Linked DNA regions of Canis lupus familiaris. The protein of the gene in region 3 purifies or fractionates together with the protein of the main gene of each other region. This does not show direct contact. Links are inferred from orthologs where the notes say so. Each region holds a gene or a part of one and is shown on either strand. Other genes may lie near its edges. The genes, in order: AKT1S1, FBXW7 and MTOR.

The links.
Region 1: the proteins of MTOR (region 3) and AKT1S1 purify together in Homo sapiens (affinity purification with western blotting; 8 studies listed by BioGRID and IntAct, with this or other methods). This does not show direct contact. The link is inferred for Canis lupus familiaris from reciprocal best matches to the Homo sapiens genes MTOR and AKT1S1.
Region 2: the proteins of MTOR (region 3) and FBXW7 purify together in Homo sapiens (affinity purification with western blotting; 9 studies listed by BioGRID and IntAct, with this or other methods). This does not show direct contact. The link is inferred for Canis lupus familiaris from reciprocal best matches to the Homo sapiens genes MTOR and FBXW7.

What each region holds. Positions count from the first base shown.
Region 1 is NC_049222.1:107,359,523-107,366,211, reverse strand, and holds the start of AKT1S1 (proline-rich AKT1 substrate 1), read right to left. Parts: upstream 3,933-6,689; 5' UTR 3,262-3,932; coding exon 3,065-3,261; intron 3,057-3,064; exon of another isoform or gene 1,167-3,056; intron 1-1,166. Other genes in the region: TBC1D17 (TBC1 domain family member 17), read left to right, coding at 4,208-4,228, 4,505-4,603, 4,833-4,907. UniProt on the Homo sapiens protein: Negative regulator of the mechanistic target of rapamycin complex 1 (mTORC1), an evolutionarily conserved central nutrient sensor that stimulates anabolic reactions and macromolecule biosynthesis to promote cellular biomass generation and growth.
Region 2 is NC_049236.1:50,769,838-50,776,488, forward strand, and holds the start of FBXW7 (F-box/WD repeat-containing protein 7), read right to left. Parts: upstream 3,863-6,651; 5' UTR 3,779-3,862; intron 1-3,778. UniProt on the Homo sapiens protein: Substrate recognition component of a SCF (SKP1-CUL1-F-box protein) E3 ubiquitin-protein ligase complex which mediates the ubiquitination and subsequent proteasomal degradation of target proteins.
Region 3 is NC_049223.1:84,397,239-84,403,245, reverse strand, and holds part of MTOR (serine/threonine-protein kinase mTOR), read right to left. Parts: intron 5,909-6,007; coding exon 5,808-5,908; intron 4,910-5,807; coding exon 4,813-4,909; intron 4,551-4,812; coding exon 4,452-4,550; intron 4,150-4,451; coding exon 4,027-4,149; intron 3,875-4,026; coding exon 3,692-3,874; intron 3,314-3,691; coding exon 3,179-3,313; intron 2,968-3,178; coding exon 2,793-2,967; intron 1,370-2,792; coding exon 1,234-1,369; intron 721-1,233; coding exon 573-720; intron 1-572. UniProt on the Homo sapiens protein: Serine/threonine protein kinase which is a central regulator of cellular metabolism, growth and survival in response to hormones, growth factors, nutrients, energy and stress signals.

The DNA.
Region 1 (6,689 bases), on a different chromosome or scaffold from region 3:
GTATGAAACCCACACTGGATTTTAGAAGACTTGGGACAAAAAAGGTTGGATGTCAGAGATCTCACTGGCAGTCTGAGGTTGATTACATGTGGAAAAGATGACATCTCAGATATAATGGCTAGTTGATATAAGGCGAAAATGACTTTTATCTGTTTTCCTTTGACTTTTTTAATGCAGCTTATAGAAGATTTGAAGTTATATGCCTCGCCTGCATTCTTTTTCTGCGGGACAATCATTCCAGCCTCTTCCTGAACCTCTGAGCCTCCAGTTCGGGCCCCTTGGGGTCCTCCTACACTGGAACTGCCCTTGCCTCTCCCTAGTATCCCCAGGACATGGTCGTAACCCCGGCTCTGCACTCAGCTTCACAACCTTCCAGACTTCTGAGCCCTCAGACCTGCAGTTAAATAGTTCCCCTATACCAGGTCCCCCTATACCTGGATAACTTGTTCCCTGATTACTTGTTGACCTTTCTCTCACCCTAGCGTGGAAGGAGCTTCCCCTCATCCCAGATGGGCTCAGTCCCCACTCTCTGGACTCCTACAATGTCTGAGAGTCCTTCCATTCTAGCACATATTCCCATGGGGAGTACTGTCTGGATCCACCTCCATCTCCCCAGCCACTGTGGAGCCACCTGAGGGGGAGCCCATGGGATTAATCTCTGAGCCGCCAGCATTGCCCAGCACCTGACAGGCCTCAGAGACCAGGGATGGAGCAGAAAATGGTGTGCAAGCTGCTCTCTGCGCCTAGACTCCATCCATGAAATTTTGTATTTCCTACAAGACTTTTCTGCCAGATGCCTTCCCTAGACCCACAATGCCCTGGGCTACATCCATTATACCTCACTGTCATTTGAGCTTGTGACAATTGTACCTGTCTGCCTCCTCCATCACACATCTGAGCTCCCCAAGGTCGGGGATCTGTACCCCAGAACAGGTCTGTCCTAAGCAGACAATCTACTGGATGCATCTACTTATGAAATGAAAAGAACAAGGGGTTGGGGTGCCTGGCTAGCTCAACTGGAAGAGCATGCAACTCTTGATCTTGGGATTGTAATCAAGAGCCCCACAAAGGGTGTAGAGATTATTTAAATAAATAAACAAACTTAAAGAAGAGAGAGAGAGAGAAAAGAGCAAGGGCAAGTGGGCTGGCTTCCGGCCATCTCAAACCTGCTGTGTGACCTTGGACCACTGACTGGCCCTCTCTGTGTCTCATTTTCTTCTTCCTGTAAATCAAAGTGGTTAAACCAGGACTGCTGGGAAGCCAAGAAGCCTCCTCAGGGAGGTAGGGGGCACCCCAACATTGGAGGAATTCAAGCAAGGTTCTAGTCCAGCCAGGGTTATTTGATTTCAATGTGCAGGCCCTTTTCAACTTATAATCACATGAACCAGTGTTTGCTGAGCACTGACTCTGTGTAGGGAGTCTACACCTCTCATTTCACCTCCCACCTGACCCACTAAGGTGGGAGCTGTTACCTCACTAATGAGACAGCCAAGGCCCATAGAGTACAAAGCCCTTGCTGGAAGCCACACACAGTGAGGTCACAACCAGCACCATTCCTGACAGACCCCATGGCAAACTCACCCTGCACTTCCCACATGCCAGGCAGGGATGCAAATGGATCATCACCATTCTCATGCTACCTTCTCCCCAACCCTATGAGGCAGGGGCTGTTATTACCCTATTTCATGGTTGCACATCAAGGGCTTAGGGAGATTCAGTATCTCGATGAGGTAAAAGGGGCTGGAGAGGAGAGCCTGTTCTTAATCCCAAATGCCATCTTGCCTTCCTTATCAGGAAAGGTTTACATTCAGATGGAGAAAGTGAGGCTCAGACAGCCTAAGGCATTGGTCAGAGTCCCAGAAGTTAAATGGGTCAGAGCAGGGCTGACTCTGCTGTTTGCCTGACTCCAAAATCCAATAGAACTGAGAAGTGCTCAGGGTCTCACCTACCAGAAGGAGGAAACCAAGGCTCAGGGCAGGGAAATGACTGGCCCAAGGTCACACAGCCTGGCAGTGCTAGGCCTAGGGCTTTCACATCTCTGGGACATCAGGATTAAACTCTCTGTCCTAGATCTTAGAGTAGTTACAGGATTGAAAAGAGTGTAATGGGGGTGAGTGGGTGTGAGGGTCCTCCCACTGTAAAGAGGAGGAGAACTGGGCAAATACAAGGAGGGCAACTCAACTTCTCTGCCAAGGCCTGGGGGCTCTCTGGCATTAGTTGTTTAAAAGTAGAGTGGCCAAGACCAGGGGAGACTCTACCCTTTCAGCTGCTGGAGGAAGTCTTGTATCCTCTAAGGAGCTCAGAGATGGACGGAGGGTCCTCAGCCAACCAATTTGAGGAGCCTAGGATTAGGGAGAGAGGTGAGACTTGTCCCCCAGAGGAGGGGGAGGGGAAAGCTAAGGTAATTGGCCCTTTAGGATGAGATGAGGAGGTGAACTGAAAGAAGTAACTCTAGGAAGAGGTGAGGAAAGAGGCAAAGTCCACCACGCAAGGAGGAATGCTAATTAAGCCCCCTTCCGACCACCTGTCAAATTGGCAGTGCACCCCCGCCCCAAAGTGGGAGAAACTCGAGGGTGGCCCCCCAGCCCCCACCCCGCGAGGCCGGGGGAAAGGTGAAGGCCTGGGCTCTTCCTCGACCTCTCAGAAACCTTCTCCCCACCTCGCCCGGGGGTCCAGGGAGGACCCACTTCTCTAGGAAGAAAACAGGAAATCCCGCCCAGGTGGGGGGCCAGGACCGGAAGTCCCGCCTTTGGACGGGTGAGGGGAGCCCCGAGTCCCCCCGAGCAACCCCCAGACCCTGTGGACATGGTCCACGCCAAGGCAAGGATCCTAGTGGGTCTGCAGACCGGAGGATAAGTCTGTCTAGGTTTTGCCTCCAGTGAGACACAACGGTTCCCGCGGGCTACCCCTTCCTAGCGCTCAGCGTAGGGTCGCTGGAAGATCTCTGCCCTCTGATCTACTCAGGCCATACCCCTCCCGCGAGCGGCTCGCCCTCCCAGCGCCCCTCTCCTCCGGACGGCCAAATCCTCCCCACACCGCGGTTCACAACGCCGCCTCCACTCACGTGCCCGTAGCCAGCATGGCCGGCCCGGCGCCGTCGCCGCCCTCAAAAGACATGGCGGCGCCTCGCGTCACTTCCGCGTGGTTGGCCCTCCTCCATGCTGCACACTCCGCCTCCCTTATCGGGGCCGCCCGAGACCATAATGACCACGGGGACATCACCGGATCACAGTGGGACAGTGGCGACAGCAGGGTGCCCATAAGAAAGATGGTGAAAGAAAGGCTTCAGCTTGCTCGGAAACAAGCCAAGACCATTTCGATTTGCTAAGAAATACGGCCGTCGGCACGTGTATTCTCAGGACCACAGTAAACTAAGGCCAGCGACCTGACGCCCCTCACCCATTGTCAACTTCTTCCACAGAAATGGAGGAAAGTAGTGCCCATTAACGACATGGCAACCATCCTAGCATCACTTGCCCAAAGCGTACATGGACTCTCCCTCCAGCCTATCCCCCTTTTCAGCACCAATGCTGGGGAAGATCCAATATGGCAACTTTTTTTGCTTCGCTTTGCCAGGCTTCAATATGGCGGCCTACACCGCCGCCTCCCGACGGTGACTCAGGAATTCGACTGGGTCCGCTTCGTACCCGGGGATACTGACGGCTTCATCCCGTTAACCCAAGTCCCTCAGCACCTCTCGTGACGTACGCCTCCTCTCACCTTCTTTTCCTTTACCCGTCTGTTTTCCAGGACCTTGCTGTTGCGCCCCTCAGAGAGATGGGACTGCCCCGCATTAACATGGCCGCAGCTGACAAGCTTTGGCCGTGCCCTCGAGCAAAATGGAATCTCCTTGGCTTCGATGCCAGTATACAATATGGAGAAAGAAGGAGGTGTTTCGGAGAGCGCTGGGGCGAGGGGGTGGAGCCCTTGGATCCTCCCCCTTGTTTACTCCATGGTAAGGGAAGCGGCACTGCGCATGCGCACTCTCGCTGGCCTGCCCCTCCTTCCCCGTGCGTGCCATGTGACTTACACCCTCGTGGTTCAAGTTCAGCCACCCCGTTCTGAAAGGTGGTTACGTCCACTCCTGTTCTAGAACAGGCAAGGGCGCTACCACTGTCCAGGCTTGAGGGGAGTCTCCTATCCGGATGTGACAGCACGGTGACCCGGAAAGGGAGAGGGCCGGGGCAGTGGGACCTCGGCCGCGGCTATGGAGGGAGCCGGCTACAGGGTAAGCACTGGGAACGCGTTCTTTCCCTCCTGGGGATGCGAAGCGACGCCCTCTGGTAGTCGGCTTCGCCCAACGCCCTGCCGGAGCTCTGGGAGCCCGGCTGAGCCGGAGCAAAGACACCATTCCTTTATAAATACTCTGTCACCCTCCCCTCGGCTGCCCTAGGGAAGACCCTTACCTTGTGGCCCCGCCCCCGCCGGCTGGGACGTTCCTCTGGGCACCGCCCCCTGGCTGTCCTGCGCTTGGGTCCCGCCCCTCACCGATTTGTGTCCGCAGGTGGTGTTTGAGAAGGGTGGTGTGTATCTGCACACCAGCGCCAAGAAGCACCAGGACCCGGACTCCCTCATCGCTGGCGTCATCCGCGTTGTGGAGAAGGTGGGCCAGGAGGGAGCAGGGCTCCGGCGGGCCCTGGGCGAGATGGAGGCGGCGTCTATAGGAGTATGATCTAGGAGGTCACGATGGGACCTTAAGAAGGCAGGGAGCGCGGACTGGGGGTATAAGGGGGGCTTTGTAAGCCTGAGGGTCCGGGCCGGGGAAGAAGTACAGAAATACGGCTTGCGGTGATTGGAGGGGAGTCTCTCTAATTCCTCTTTTCTTTCCTCAGGACAGCGATGTTCTCCTGCATTGGGTTCCTGTAGAGGAGGCTGGAGATTCCACCCAAATTCTCTTCTCCAAGAAGGTAGGCTTTTCTCTCTTCTCGTTTCTCCACTCGCTTTTTTCCAGGTTCAGGCAGTGGAAGATGTTTGAAGGACCTGGATGCAAACCCAGACTTACTTTTGGAGCTTGTGTGATCCTTGTTGGGATCTAGGTTCTCTTTGCTCCTTGGTTTCCTCTTGTCTGTAAAATGGAGCTGAAGATGCCCGATCAAAAGAAAGCTGACACCATGAGATTTGTAGCCTAGGGGACAGCTGCCCCCTCATCTGTTTGCTCTTAGGAGAGCCCTGCCAGGGTGCGAGAGGACGGCGTGGCCTGTGGATTCGGGTTCCACGAGCTCTCAGTCCACAAGAGCCTGAAGGGGTGTGGCATGTCCCCTTCAGAGAGGAAACACACCCTGACCCAGGTGGCTCACCCACTTCCCAGGACACCTTCCTACCCTGGGTGCCAGACTTTGCCCTTCTTGTTCTTAGAGGCTCCTGAGGCTTTTTGTCACCAGGCTCTGTGCTGGGACCCAGAGAGGAGTCTGACTTGGACCCTGCCTCAGTCTTCACCCCCATTCTACTTTGGGAAACTGAGGCACAATGATTGGAAGTTCCTTTTGCAAGATCAAAAAGCTAGGAGGTGTTGGAACTTGAGTTTGATACCAGACTCTCTGATTCCAGAGGCCTGCCCCTTTCTGGAGGAAGCAGACATTGCGCTGGAACCGTAAGGATAAGGGAGCAAGAAAATACTTCAGGGATGGCAGGAGGAAATGGGGTGTCTCTGTAGAGCAGTTTGCTGGAAAGATGGTTGATTCTGAAATGCCCGACTGGGAAGCTTGGATGATGTTCTAGAGGCCTCGGGGAACCATGGGAGGAGAAGGGTGTGGGTGTGGAAAGCTCTCCTGAGAGACCGTGCTGGGAATGGGCAGGTCCGAATAGAGGGAAGTTGGAGGCAGGGAGGTCAGGAAGAAGGTTAGAATGGTGTACCAGGGGTAGAGAGAATGAAGCCTCACTTGGGGCAGTGGGGGTTTGAATAACCTGGCGAGGGTGTGTATGTGTGTGTGAGACAAATGGAGATTCCAGAATTCTGCTCAAGCCAGGGTTGAGGAGGAAGCATCGAGCATTCTGCGTTTTTTGTCAGCTTCGCAGGTCGGCTGAGTGCCTCTCTTGAAAATGTGACTGTCCTCTTCGGCAATCTTATTTTTGACTAACACAAACCCACTGAGGGGGGCTCCTGAGTGACTCAGTTGTTGAGCGTCTGCCTTTGGCTCAGGTTGTGATCCTGGGGTCCTGGGATCAAGTCTCGCGAGCCTACTTCTCCTGCCTACATTTCTGCCTCTCTCTGTGTGTCTCTAATGAAGAAATAAATAAAATCCTGGGATCCCTGGGTGGCGCAGTGGTTTGGCGCCTGCCTTTGGCCCAGGGCGCGATCCTGGAGACCCGGGATCGAATCCCACATCGGGCTTCCGGTGCATGGAGCCTGCTTCTCCCTCTGCCTATGTCTCTGCCCCTCTCTCTTTCTCTCTCTGTGACTATCATAAATAAATAAAAATTAAAAAAAAAAAAATCTTAAAAAAAAAAAAAAAAAACCTCGCTGAGGTAGACTGCAGTGGAAAAGGCACACACGCAGAATACGCTTAGCTCCAGGGAACACAAAATCTGGCGGAAGACAAGTTAACAGACAAGTTTATTTTTCTCATTTTATAAGACACTCAAAGAGGCTGCTGGCCTTGGCTGGCAATGTCGGGGCCCAGATTGTTGAGACCCTCCTTTGCGTGCCCTGGTAATTTTTTAATGATTTAGCTGCAGCTCCTGTATCTGCC
Region 2 (6,651 bases), on a different chromosome or scaffold from region 3:
ACACCTTTCCCACTATCTTTACTAGTAAATCATGTCAACCTGAAAATGCTGTCCTTAAAGTTAATCTAAACATGGTTTCACCTGCATAAAATATGTTGCGGAAAATAGAGGGGTGGAGAACGCACCCATATGGCACATATTTCAGTCCTGTACCTTCATCTTAGGATCAATTGAGATCTGGCTCCCTACCTAAATACATCTCTTCCCCAGAGGGTTCTGCCATTTGAATTAAACTCTTAAGAAGAGACCAAAGAAGCTAGTAGGAAGGTGACAAACTGAATGAATTAAAGAATACAAAAAGTGTGGATGCGTATATATTACTGACCTTACAATCCTTACTCTTTGTTAGAGTCAACACTAAAAACAAGGCCCATTAGCTGCAGGTTTCACCACACACACAAAAAAAATCTTCCAGTGTCTCATGCTTCAAAGACAGATGAATTTTGTCGATGCCAAGTTGTTTCTGTTTGTTTTTTAATAAAAAGGTTTAAAAAAAAAAAAAGGCATTTTCAGCACTGCTGTGCCAACACAGGGATATCCCCTCCATTGTATGGGACACAAAGACACATCAACTGCAAGCAGGGGAAGCAGCCTTCTCTGCCAGCTATTTTTAGCCCTACTTCACTCGTCATGTTAAAGACCAAACTTAGGATAATAATGCTGGGCAAACTTTAAAAGCATGAATTTTATGAAAACAAACCTGTCCTTTTATATAGAAGTTCCTTAACTGTGAAATCCTATATACTCTTCTGAACTTAATCTCAAGGGACCTATATACTCTACAGAAAGCTTGTTAGCTACTTCACAAATATAGACTCACATGTCCAAACACTGAAGTGGTAGCCATGTTTAAAGCCTGTTCCTCCCTTTTGAACTTCAAATCTTACACACTTCTAAAATATGTGTTTCGGGAGAGTCTCATCCATTCTCTGTTCTTACTATATCTTTGCTAACTTTAAACAGATTCCCTTCCCCGCCAAAGTAAAAATACACGGGTTTTTTGGCTCTCTATTCTCTTCTCAGCTCTCCTGAGAAACCTTAATACTGTGAAAATGACTCCTAACTTTACATTTTCAGCATATCACTCATTAGTTTAACTATTTTTCTGTCTTCAGATTGCATCAGCACCAACTTTTTGCCCTAAAATGTAATGTCAAAAACAAAGTCCATTGCCCTATTTCTGAATTATTTTCTATAAGAAACCACTAGCACCAAACTAGAACATCTCCTTTTTCACTCCTCCAGTTGTAGAGCTCTTTGATGACCATGGTTTAAAATGTTGGTTCACTAGAAAAACAAAACTACTCCAGGTATAATGCCTCTTGAACTAAAAATACAATTTCTCCTCAATCACCTAAAACTACCCTCTCGGAACATTGTTCTCAATTGCTCCTTTGGGCTGTATACATGTAACTGCACAAACACAAACTGACTCTAAGCCCACTTAACAACCTCCATCCATATTCCCATCAAGCTAACTTCCTGATTACATTTGTCCCTCACACCCCCCAATTCCAAAAGTCTTAAACACTACCTCCACCTGTATCTTTCTTCCTAAGAGAGACCTTCTTTCCCAGATTTGGTTCAGACATTCCAATTGGGTTTGTATAGTCCAACACCAACATTTTGCTAATGGAAAATATACAAATACATTTATACCTATAAGGCACCAGAGTAGTATGACATATAATGATTGTAAATAAATATTGGCTCATTCCCCCCTTTTCCTACAATTTTGTAGAATTTATGTTTCATAGCCTATGCCATAAGTAAAAGCATCTCAAAGGCAGGGACCCCAAATACTTTGCTGTTTCTTTGCTACCCAAACATACAATAAAACATTACCGTGCTTTTTAACCAATCTCCAGTCAAAGCAATAAAAAAGAAGTCTTAAAGTTAGTAAGCAACTTCGACAGAGTACAAATCTACACTCAAGTTATAGTTTGCTAGGTATGGCTTCCCTTCCTCCCCAAAAAACAGCCTATGCCCAGACTAGATTTCTCTTCCTCCCATCTTTTGTGAAACATGGGATACAGGACTTCCTCAAGGTCTCAAAATAAGATAACAGATCCAGAGACATTTGCTTTTGATTCAACATCTAACATTACATCTACTCATCAGAATTTTCATGTCATTACCCATTTAAAATAGATAGAACTTAAGGTTCCTTACAAAAGCATCCCAAGCACAAATATATAAAGAGAAACAAAACAGCTGGAAAAGTTCCAGGAGAGGCAAAACGATCAAGGGATCAAAGAAATCATTCTAAGACTGACACAGAAAACTAGGCATGATGATGGTAAATAAAGAGGAACAATCGAAATCTAAAAAACCAGGAAAAGATGAACTCTAGCGTGTCCTAGCATTCTCAAAACAAAAACGCTGGAGGTGCCTTGGGACTTTAAAGAGACGGGTTTGGGATAAATAAATGAAATGTCAAATATTTCAGGGGCTAGTACACTTGTATAACCCACTACCTCGAAAAAGTACAAACGAAAACCCTATTTGAGAAAGTTTTAAATATATGTAAAATCAAGATCCTGAATGGAGAAGTTAGCACAGACAATCCCAGCCTTTCATTCATTCCCACAAAGCTTCTCTCAGCAGCGGCTTCACAGGTAGTGAGCCTACACTGTTGTCTGGAGGAGTCACAATTCTCAGTATGGTACTGCCTATGTTCTGTTAAATAAAATTCCACCCTATGCTTAACACTTAAGGTCTATTTAAATACATGGAATGGTCCTTACTTTCCTGCACCTCGCCTGGGCACTTTGACGGGATACCTAAACCTCACCTTCTAATAATGGAAGGGAAGAGAAAAGAATCACTCTTCAAATAATCAAATATCAAAAAGTTTCTCCCTGTTTGGTAGCAAAGTAAGGATAACTCAAACAAGCAAAGTTTCAAGTCATCCTGCCAAATTAAAAAAAAAAAAAAAAGTGCTGGCAATTAAGATAGGCTACTCAAAAATTAAAAAAAGAAAAGAAAAGAAAAGGCATTTGGGTAGGGGGAAAAAGGTAACAACTTTTATAAACTGCTTGAAGTACTAGATGCTCTTCCCCCAAGTAAGTCATGATTGGTAAGAGTCAACTTCCTGAGTACCTGAAATCTCTTACAGTATCCTGACACGCAGGAGTTGGACCCAGGAAATGAGAAGGTTAAAAAAGAAATAAAGAAAGAAAGAAAAAAAAAAGAAGAAGAAGAAGAAGAAGAAGAAGAAGAAAAAAAAAAAAAAAAAAAAACAACTCCTGTACCAATAGGTACTGAAATGAAAATCTCTCAAGGAAGACTGCAAAAACAAGAAAGGAATTTTACCGAAAGTAAAATTCAGGGGTTCACAGGGTAAAAGGTTCCCTCCCAAGAACCCTAAGAGTTGCCCCGAAACAAAAACCACAGCGCTGTTTCACACCCGGTGCACCAGGAAAAGGTGTATTACAGAGATGTCCTTTGTGTGCACATATGCTTTGGCTTCCTCAATTTCCTTTTGCCGATTTCTGGCCAGAAAGGTGCAAGTGTCCGCTCTGGACAAAGACAGAACTCCCCTGAGACAGGGACCTGTAAGCTTGCGCGTTACCCGTACAAAGAGGTGAAGCGTCCCGAGACCCAGGACGGCCCAAACCTTCTCCCCCGCGGTAAAGATACAGATGCACCGCGCCTCATCCACACGCGCACCCGCACCCGCACCCGCACCCCGCGAACGCGCGCCCCACTCCGGCAGCGCCAACCCGCCCCCCCCCCCCCGCCCCCCGCCCCGGCGCCCTCTCCCCGGGCCACTCACACTTCGCGGGAGAGCCGCGGCGCTGCGAACCGGGCCGGCGCCCGTCCTCCGTCGGGGAGGCGGCGGCCGCGGAAGGCTCCGGCGCTGTGAGGGCGGAGCGGTGCTCGCGCCAAGCCGGGCGGCCAGCCGGGCTCTTCCGCGCTGCCGGGGCCCGGGAGGCGGCGGCCGCCCCGCTTCCCTCCTGCCGCCCTCTTCCTGGGTGTCTTCAGGCTGCGTCTCCTGCCCGCCCCGGGCCGCGTCTCCCGGGACAGTCCCGTCGGCGAGGCTCCAGATTCTGCTCTTCCCAAGTTTTCCTGTTGCGCTGAGGCTGCGGCCGGCCCCCCGGGTCCCCCCCGGCCCCGCCGCCCTCGGGGCTGGGGCGGGGGAGGGGGCTCTGGGAACTCCTCCCGGAGTCCTGCCGAGGAGCCGGGGGGCCGGCGGCTGGCCGAGGGAGAGGACCCCCCCGCGAGGGGGCTGAGGACGGGGGGAAGGCGAGGGAAGGACGGCGGCGCCGCTCCCGCTCTCCCCGCCGCGCCCGGGCCGCCGCCTCACATCGGGGTCCCCGCCCCCCCGGCCGGGGGGTGGCTGCTGAGCTCGGGCCCCCGGCTCATACACTCCGGGGCCAGATGCTACGGCCCCGGGCGGGCGGCCGAGGCGGCGGCGAGGGGGGGGACCCGGCCGGCTCCGCTCGGCGCCGCCCCCGCTCCCGGCTCCCGCATGTGTCGCTGCGGCCGGGACCCCCTCCCTACACGTCGGGGGTCCCTCGCCCCGCGGCCCGGGACGAGACGGAAGCTCCGGCCCGTCCTCGGCGTCTTCGCAGCGCGGAGCGGCTGACGAGTCCCGGCCCGAGGTAGCCGCCTCCCTGCCCCCCAGCCGCCGGCTCCGGCTCCGGCTCGGGCTCGGGCTCGGGCTCGGGCTCGGGCTCCGGCGTGTGCAGCCGCGGCTGCCGGCCGGGAAGGCGAGGGGGGGAGAAGAGGGGCGGCCGCGGCTCCCGCCGGTCCGGGTCAGGACGGAGGTCTCGGCGGCGGCCGGTGCCCGGGGGCCGGGTCCCGCGGACGCTCGCTCGCTCTCACGCTCTCCGCGGCGGCGGCGGCGGCGCCCGGAGCTCCGCTCGCTGTCTCGCTCGCTCTGTGCGGGGCTCTCGCCTCACTCCAGAGAGGGGCGGGAGGAAAGCGGCGCGGCCGGATGACGCAAGTCACCTAGCAACCGCTCCCCTCACCCCCGCCCTTTTCTTTCCGCCGGGACGTTTCCTCCGCGGGCCTTTTTTTTTTTCCCCCGGTTCTAGGCACCCCGCCCTGGGTGACTGCGGCGCGCTCTGATGACGCGGGAAGGGAAGAGGAAGTCGGGGCTCCGCGAGCGGGTGGGTGCGCCTCGGGCCGCGGGACCTGCCGCCGCCGCCGCCGCCGCCTCTGCGGCCGCGTCAGAACCGAGGAGAGGAAGGGGAGGAGCCGAGGGGAGCCTAAGCTGCCGCCTGATCTTACCCCTGACCCGGCGGCGGCGGCGGGGAGAGCTCGCTCCGCAGCGGTCTCCTTCGGGGCAGGCGGTGGCTGCTCCTTTGGGAGCGAGGAGGAAGGCCCGGCCCGCGCGGCCATGCTCGGGCGCGCACCACCCGAAGGTGAGGCATCCAGCCCCGACGGGCCTCGGGAAGCCGGACTGAGCGCGGGCTGCCCCGCCGCCTGACCCGCTGCACCTGCTCCGGGGAGCGAGCGCCCCCTCCCCCTGCGCGGGGCGCGGGCGCGGGGCGAGGCCCGGCCCCCGACACCCGGCAGCGTGCGGTCGGGCCGAGCACATGCTCGGGGATGAATGGACGCCTCCCCCCGGGCACCCGCGGAGCGCAGAGTACTCGATGGGGCGCGAGCGCTCCGGAAGCTGCGTAGCGTCGGAGAGACCAGAGCGGCCAGACAGCCCTTCTCCGCCCCCACCCCCACCCCCACCCCCACCCCGCCGGGGGACGTAGGGCTGTGGTTTGAGTCCCGAGTCACCATCTGAGCCTTATGCTCCAAAGGGGGGAGGGGGGGGGGCGGGGGCGACTGGCCGGGACGAGGGAAGGGGACCATCCTCCCGGAGACTGTGGAGAGATTTTTGACTTTTTTCAGGAGGAGATGTTAGTAGTGTCTCCATTTTAGGAATCATTCTTGCTTGTTGTGAAGCTTTTGGAGAGCTGATTCTGGTCGTTAGGTAAGTGTCCACAACCGTCATCGAGAAAACGTTGGCCTGCGTTTCAGGTCTAATCCAAAGGCTATTTCCTTTCTCAAATAAATATTGTTACTCTTACGCAGCTTCTCCTACAGATGTTACCCTGGAAAGTAAATTCAAGTAAAACTCACGAAGTTGTAAAGTGTAGTTAGTTCTCCAGGAAAGGAAATTTTGAGATGAAAGTGTCAGAATCCTCGGAATCTGCCTGGAACCTGTCCGGGTGAATAGCGTGGAGACTGAGATGAGAAAGCAGCAGCAAGGATGGAAGGACGCAGATTCCAGAGTTCCGCCGCCGGACCCTGGCACACCCCACCTGCTCCCGAAGCAGCATGAATGGATGTTACAAGTCTTTCCGCTTTGGGAACTAAGGAGCGAGTTTTTATAGGCAGATTTTGGAAGCTCAGGGTTTCTACCAGCATCATATGCAAACAGTAGACCAAAGAAGGTTCTAACTGGGCGAACCCAAGGGCTCACTTTTATTAAAATGATGCAGAAAGAGTGATAGGAGTGGGGAAGTGGGTGTTGCAGAAGCAAGAAGAGACTCACAAAGCAGAACTTGCCCAGGTGTCCTTGATGCGAAGTTCCAAGAGCCAGGCTAACTATCCTGTTTAAGCTACTGTGGATTTTACTGCGTTGTCATGATCGCTGCTTTACCATGTCCTTCCAAGTTAAGACTCACAGAGAATCTGATCCCCAAG
Region 3 (6,007 bases):
CGCCGCTCTGGGCCCGGGCAGAGCTGGGTTCTGATGGCACCACCCGAGTCCAAAGGAAAAGGAAGTAGGAATGGTGCGAAAGGAAAAACACGGGTGTGGCCCCTCGAACCTGCTGACCACGGGAAGTGCCAGGGGCTCCGGGTAAGTCAGCAGGCAGGGCCCACCCGAGCACAGGCCGGAGTACAGCCTGCTGGTATGAATGAGAGCCCTGGAGGCATCAGGGTTCTGAGTAACACACCAGTCTCTTTCTTAGGACCTGCCTACCTACTAACGTCATTTCCTCGTGTGACCAGTGCCCTGTATACATTAGGTGTTTGGTCCACACACGCTGCTTGATAAACACCGTCCAGTCTCCCCTCGAATGCTGAAAACCCAGTTTCTGGGCCTTAGGGTTCTGTGTCTCAGAGGTGATCTGCTTTAGGACTCACTTCATTGAATCTCCTTCAGTAGACAATTCTCCCAAACAGATTCTTCGGTGTTGTACACACAGAAGAACGACGAGCAGCTGCGTTCAGATTTCTCAACTTGGGAGTTGGGGTTAAGGCACTGGGTTTGGCAGCCTCATCACATACCCGCAACATGATGCGATGCTCGATGTTGAGAAGGATCTTCTTTTTCTCTCTGTAGTCCCGGATGAGGGCGTGCAGCGTGTCGCAGTGGGGGACCCAGCCAATGAGGCCCGAGTTGGTTGATAAGGGGATGACAGCGTACCTCTGGATGCTGGGGTTATGGGACAGGAAACGGGCCCACTCAGCACACACGGAAGCGGGTTGAAGGACGCACCCTGCACAGGGCTGAGCACCACCAGCCTCCTCAACCTGCCTGATGAACTCACAGCCCCGGGGGAGCAGCCTCGTGATGATTTCTAAGCCAAAACAACCTCCCAGCATAATACCCACGTTCTTAACAGGAAGAGGAGGAAGGGAGCAGGGCGGACGGGGAAAAGTGAAACACCCCAGATGCACAGCATCTCTAGTCTAGTGGCCATGGGCTGTTCCATTCCAGACCCTCTTTCTGGTGGCTGTTTCAGGCATTTCCCTAGAAAGTACGCTCAAAGTATGGATAATTCCTCTTGTTGTGTTTGACACCTTGGCTACTGACGACTTCCTGTCAGGTACGTTCGTCTATAGCTGATTTCGTGAAGGGACGTGAGCACATGGATGGGAAGTAAGGAAACCCTAGAAGACGGGTCAGATCGCTGCCCACCCCCACGCAGCACCGCGTCCTGGATACCTGAGGTTCTTGCGAAGAGACGTTGGGTCATTGGCCAGAAGGGTGTTCACCAGGCCGAAGAGCTGCATCACCCGCTCATCCTGCCGCAGGTCTTCGTGGCCCTTCAGGAGGAAAACAAACTCATGCCCGTTGCTGCCTGTGAGGAAGGTGGGAGCAGTTAGCACAACCAGCCCGGTACCCACAAGCTCCCAGAGACTACACGTTCCCTACCCAGCCCTATTTCCGCACAAATGCAAGAAAGTTCCCTAGAACTGATGCAAAGAATGGCCCTGCTCTTGATGTTCCCAATGAAATGTCGGTCAAATTAAAAACAAATACAATAAAAAACAGCCCTGTCCAGGGTCCCCGGGGGGCTGAGGCAGGTAAGCGCCTGCCGTCCGCTGAGGTCATGGTCCCGGGTCCCGGGTCCCAGGATGGAGCCCTGAGAGGGACTCCGAGCAGGGAGTCTGTTTCTCCGTCTCCCTCTGCTCCCCTGCCTGTGCGCTCTTTCTGTCTCAAGTAAATAAATACAATCTTCAAAAAGCAATGAAATAAAAACAGTTCTATGAAGATCAGGCGTGAGTGTGCACAGGGAGGCCATTCTGGATGCTCCCTCACAAGCCACTGTCTGCCCTTCTCGGTCTTGCTGGGGCCTGTGCAGCCTGAGCCCTAGAGACCGGGTCGCCCACCTTCCCAGCTGGGCCAACGGGGATACTGGCGGGAGGGAGGTCAGAGGGTGGGAGAGGGAGAAGCCAAGGGTTTGCCCCTGTCAGCCGGCCGGGCTCCCGTTCTAGAAGGTAGCAGAGTCCCCCCATCCGGGCTGTACTACTGGCGATGGCCTCTTTCCAGGTCGTGTGCTCTCAACAGGCTCCCCGGCCTTTCGGGCCAGGCGGGGGCGTGAGTCACAGCTTCCCACTGTGGGTTCTCTTGACTCTGTTCACAGCTTCCCTGGGAACAGGTCCTTCATCCGGGTCTCTGAGCAAATACCGTGGAGAGCCCGACTGACCCGTGTGTTCGTCCCAGGAGATGCCGGCCCACGGAGAGGCGGTCACTCGTGCCACGACGAACCGTGCTGAGTAACTACTGCATTTAAAACGCATGAGCCGTACGAGAGGAGAGAGCCCTCAAAGGGCCGCCAGGGCATCTGGATGTCCTGCAACTGCCCAGGTGCTCACGGAGCTCCCATGAGAACCCATTTCCACATCAGTTTGTTTCTCTTACAGAGTCATTTCCCACAGAGAGATACCCTGATGGTAAAAGAGAACATTCAAGAGCCCAGGAGCCCTTTCTTCAGCCCTGCTTGTCACCTGCCACACCTGCTGCACCATGTCAGTCCCCTGCAGTGCCTGCTGCCCCAGCTGCCCAGGCTGCACACCCTGCACGGCAGTGAGGCTTCCCATAAGCACGCACAATGGTCCGAGCACCAGGAGTCCGGAGGAGGATGCATGGACCTCTATTTCCCTCTCCACGGACACGGGAGAGGAGGGATACGAACGGCGAGCCGTGATTTCAGAAAAGTGGGGAGAGGTTCAGCCAGGGTGGGAGGGAGATGCAGGAGGCGGAAGCACACGTGTCCTTACCCATGAGCGTCAGCTTCCGGGGCCTCTGCTTGGAGGTGATGACCTGCAGGGACGGTGCTATGGACTGAATGCGAATGATGGGCTGGTTGGGGTCGTACGTTCCCGGCACGGCCAACTCAAGGTCCCGGCACATCAGAAGTTTGGGGGAAACATACTGCAGTTCCAGGGAGGTGAGCTGTGGATAATTACCACGGGGGTTAGCTTTCTGCCTCCAGGGAGGAGTGTAAATGCAGTCTAGGTCCTTCTCAATGGATTGCTAGTGGCAATGTCTTATCCCCACGTCTGCAGACAGCAGTGAGACCAGGTGCTTCGCAGTGAGGGCCAGGACGCTCTCAGCAAGAGAAGGGGCGATGACAGTTAATGCTGCTGGAACCGGACGTTCCTACCTGAGGCAGCTGCTTGGAGATCCGTCTGAACACGTGGTAATAGAGGTCCCAGGCCTGGGTGAGGTCCTTGACGTTCCCGGATTTCATGTACTTCCTGCACCACTCCTGGGCCTCCATTAAGTCTCGACCATATGCCTGCGGGAAGGCAGGGTGCAGACTCAGCCGCAGGTGAACCCCACGCACACAGCACAACTGCTCGGGCACGCGCTGCAGCGGCCGGACTCTGGCCCTCAGCCAGGCTCAGCAAGGGTGCAGCCCAGTCCTGGAGGCCCCCGCGTCAGGATGGCTCCCGGGCGCGGTAAGGAGAGGCAAGACGACCTCGGGAAGAACCTTGTGGTTTTCCGGGGAAAGCCTTGGAGGGTTCTCATAAGCTGGTGACAACGAAACTGCTGGGGTTTCTATGTTCTGCGACCTCCGTCAGAGTACGTTTTACTCAAGTCAGCACGAGGGCCGGGGGAAAGGGGTCTGGTACGGGCTTTGGGTCATGCCACGCCGTGCTTTCCTATCCCTTACCTGATTAAAAGATGTTTCCTTCAGAGTCTGGGGGCCCCGTTCCATCATAGCATGCAGGGGCTCCAGCACCTCAAACATGCCTTTCACGTTCCTCTCCCCAAAGTACAAACGTGACGCTTCTTCCAGGCCTTCGTGCCACATCTCGTGCCAGAGGATGGCCACGCGGATGAGCTCCTCACTCACCTGGACCAAAGTGGGGAGGGAGGGAAGGCGGACGATGAGCCCCCTCAGAAAGGCCCGTCTTGGAGACAGGAGCACCGTTGTGAGGAAGAGTCTCCCTGAAGACGTCGGCTAGGTGGTGGGTCGGCAAAGCCCCGCACTGCCCCCCGCCTCACCATCATGGCCTGCTGGACCAGGGTGTTGCTGTGCTCGCACATGTTCTTCAGAATCTTGTTGGCTGCGTTGTGGCGGGCCGTCGTGGTGGATTTAGAGGCCACGGTCAGGGGGTAGATGAGGGCCTGGGGCGGACACAGAAAGAACCCTCGCACACTCTCACTCTTGGGAGGACAAGAGAGGTGGAGAGGGTGCTGCTGACACTCATTTGAGGCCACCCGGCCGGGGCCACTCAACCTTGGGGTGGGTGGGGGCACCTTCTCTTGAGGGAAGCCCCGGGGCCGGGGCCTGGCAGCCGGACAGACGGGATGCCTGGCTCCTCGTTCCTGCACTGTGTCTCGAGAGCAGCTCTAGGGAAGGCTGCGATCCGGATCAAGAGGATCCGGATCCGCGGTTTGAGGAGAAACTGCCCCGGGGGCCCACATACCTGGGGGTGGTACCGGCCAATGTCTGTGAGAAGCTGGTGAATGAGGCGGCCCACCAAGGGCCGAGGCGTATCGATTCTCGCAATGAGCTGAGGTATAACCTGGCATTCGGAAAGACACGGTACGCAGCGCGTGAGATGCAGAAACAACTAGTTACGCTTCTGGGCAATGACCCGCTCTTGAAACTTGTTTGTGGGAGATGCTGTTAAGCTCTGAAACGGGTCACTCCCTTCAGTTCTCTGGGAGAAACTAAAGAAGATACGGGGTCTCGACCTTGGGACTGAGCCCCCTCTTCCCACTGTTCACCAAACACCGTGTGATGCGAGGGGGAGAGAGCAGGGGGGAGACCCGAGCCAGCCTCACCTGTAACCAGGTGTCGATCTGGATCGCTTTCACCCCCTCCACCAAGGCTTCGTTTACATCCGGCCAGTGACCATAGTCAAACCATAAGGTGAGGACTCTGGAGAAGAAAAATGAGAAAAATCACAGAAAATTTACTTTCTCACTTTTGTCTGTTTGGTTTTCTATCTTTAAGACTTGAAAAAAGACTAATCGGTGAAGGGGCATCTAGGTGGCTCAGCTGCTTGGGCGCCCAACCCTTGATTTTGGCTCAGGTCATGATCTTAGGGTCCTGGGATCAAACCCAGAGATGGGCTCCACACTCAGTGTGAGTTTACTTGAGCTTCTCTCCCCACCCCCACCTCTCCCTCCCCCCCTCACTCTCTCTCTCACTCTTTGTCTCAAATAAATAAATCTTTAAAAAAAAAAAGAAAAGGAATAACTGGCGGGGCCTCAAATCAGTGGTTTCCCCGCCCCAGACACGGTTCCCCTGTCTGGTGTCAGGACAGTGGTTGGCGATGGTCGTTAGTACTTGGCTCAACACAAGGAGGAGCATCCCAAGGGAAGGCTTACTTTATTCGAGATAATAGAGGGATCAGCGTGGCGTGAGCTCAGAAATCTCACAGATGAGCCCAGGGACGGTCCACGGACAATGTTTGCACATACAGAAAGCCATCTGTGGACCCGTGGCAACGGGGCAAACGTAGGACTTGGCTGTCCTAGTCACCCCGTCGTCTGCCGACCGGTCAGTCTGTGCCCTTTGTGTCGGCCTAAGTGGCCTCTAAAAGCTAAGGGGATCTCAGCACGACTGCCACAAACAGCTGCGCCGCCTCCTGCAGAGCCGAGCGCACTCCCACTCCCACTCTCAGGCCACGCCTCCCCCTCGGCCTTGGCAGGTGCAGGCTGCTCAGCGGCTACCCGGGGACGTGCTCATCGGGTGGGGAAGCAGAAGGGGACGTCGCGGTATTCTGTGTTCTGCTGCACGCATGGCCTGGCGGGGTCCCGCCCTCCTCTGATACCTCAGTGTGTCCTGGAGGTTGTTGCCTCGTGACAAGGAGATGGAACGGAAGAAGCCCTGGACGGCGGGGACCGTGTACATCAAGAGGGTCTTGGACAAATCCTGTTGGAACACACACGCCTGCCTTAGTGTTCTCAGCTGCCAAAGGGGCCTGACTGCACACTAACTGTCCCCGCCCTCAGAGATGCGACGAGGTTAAAG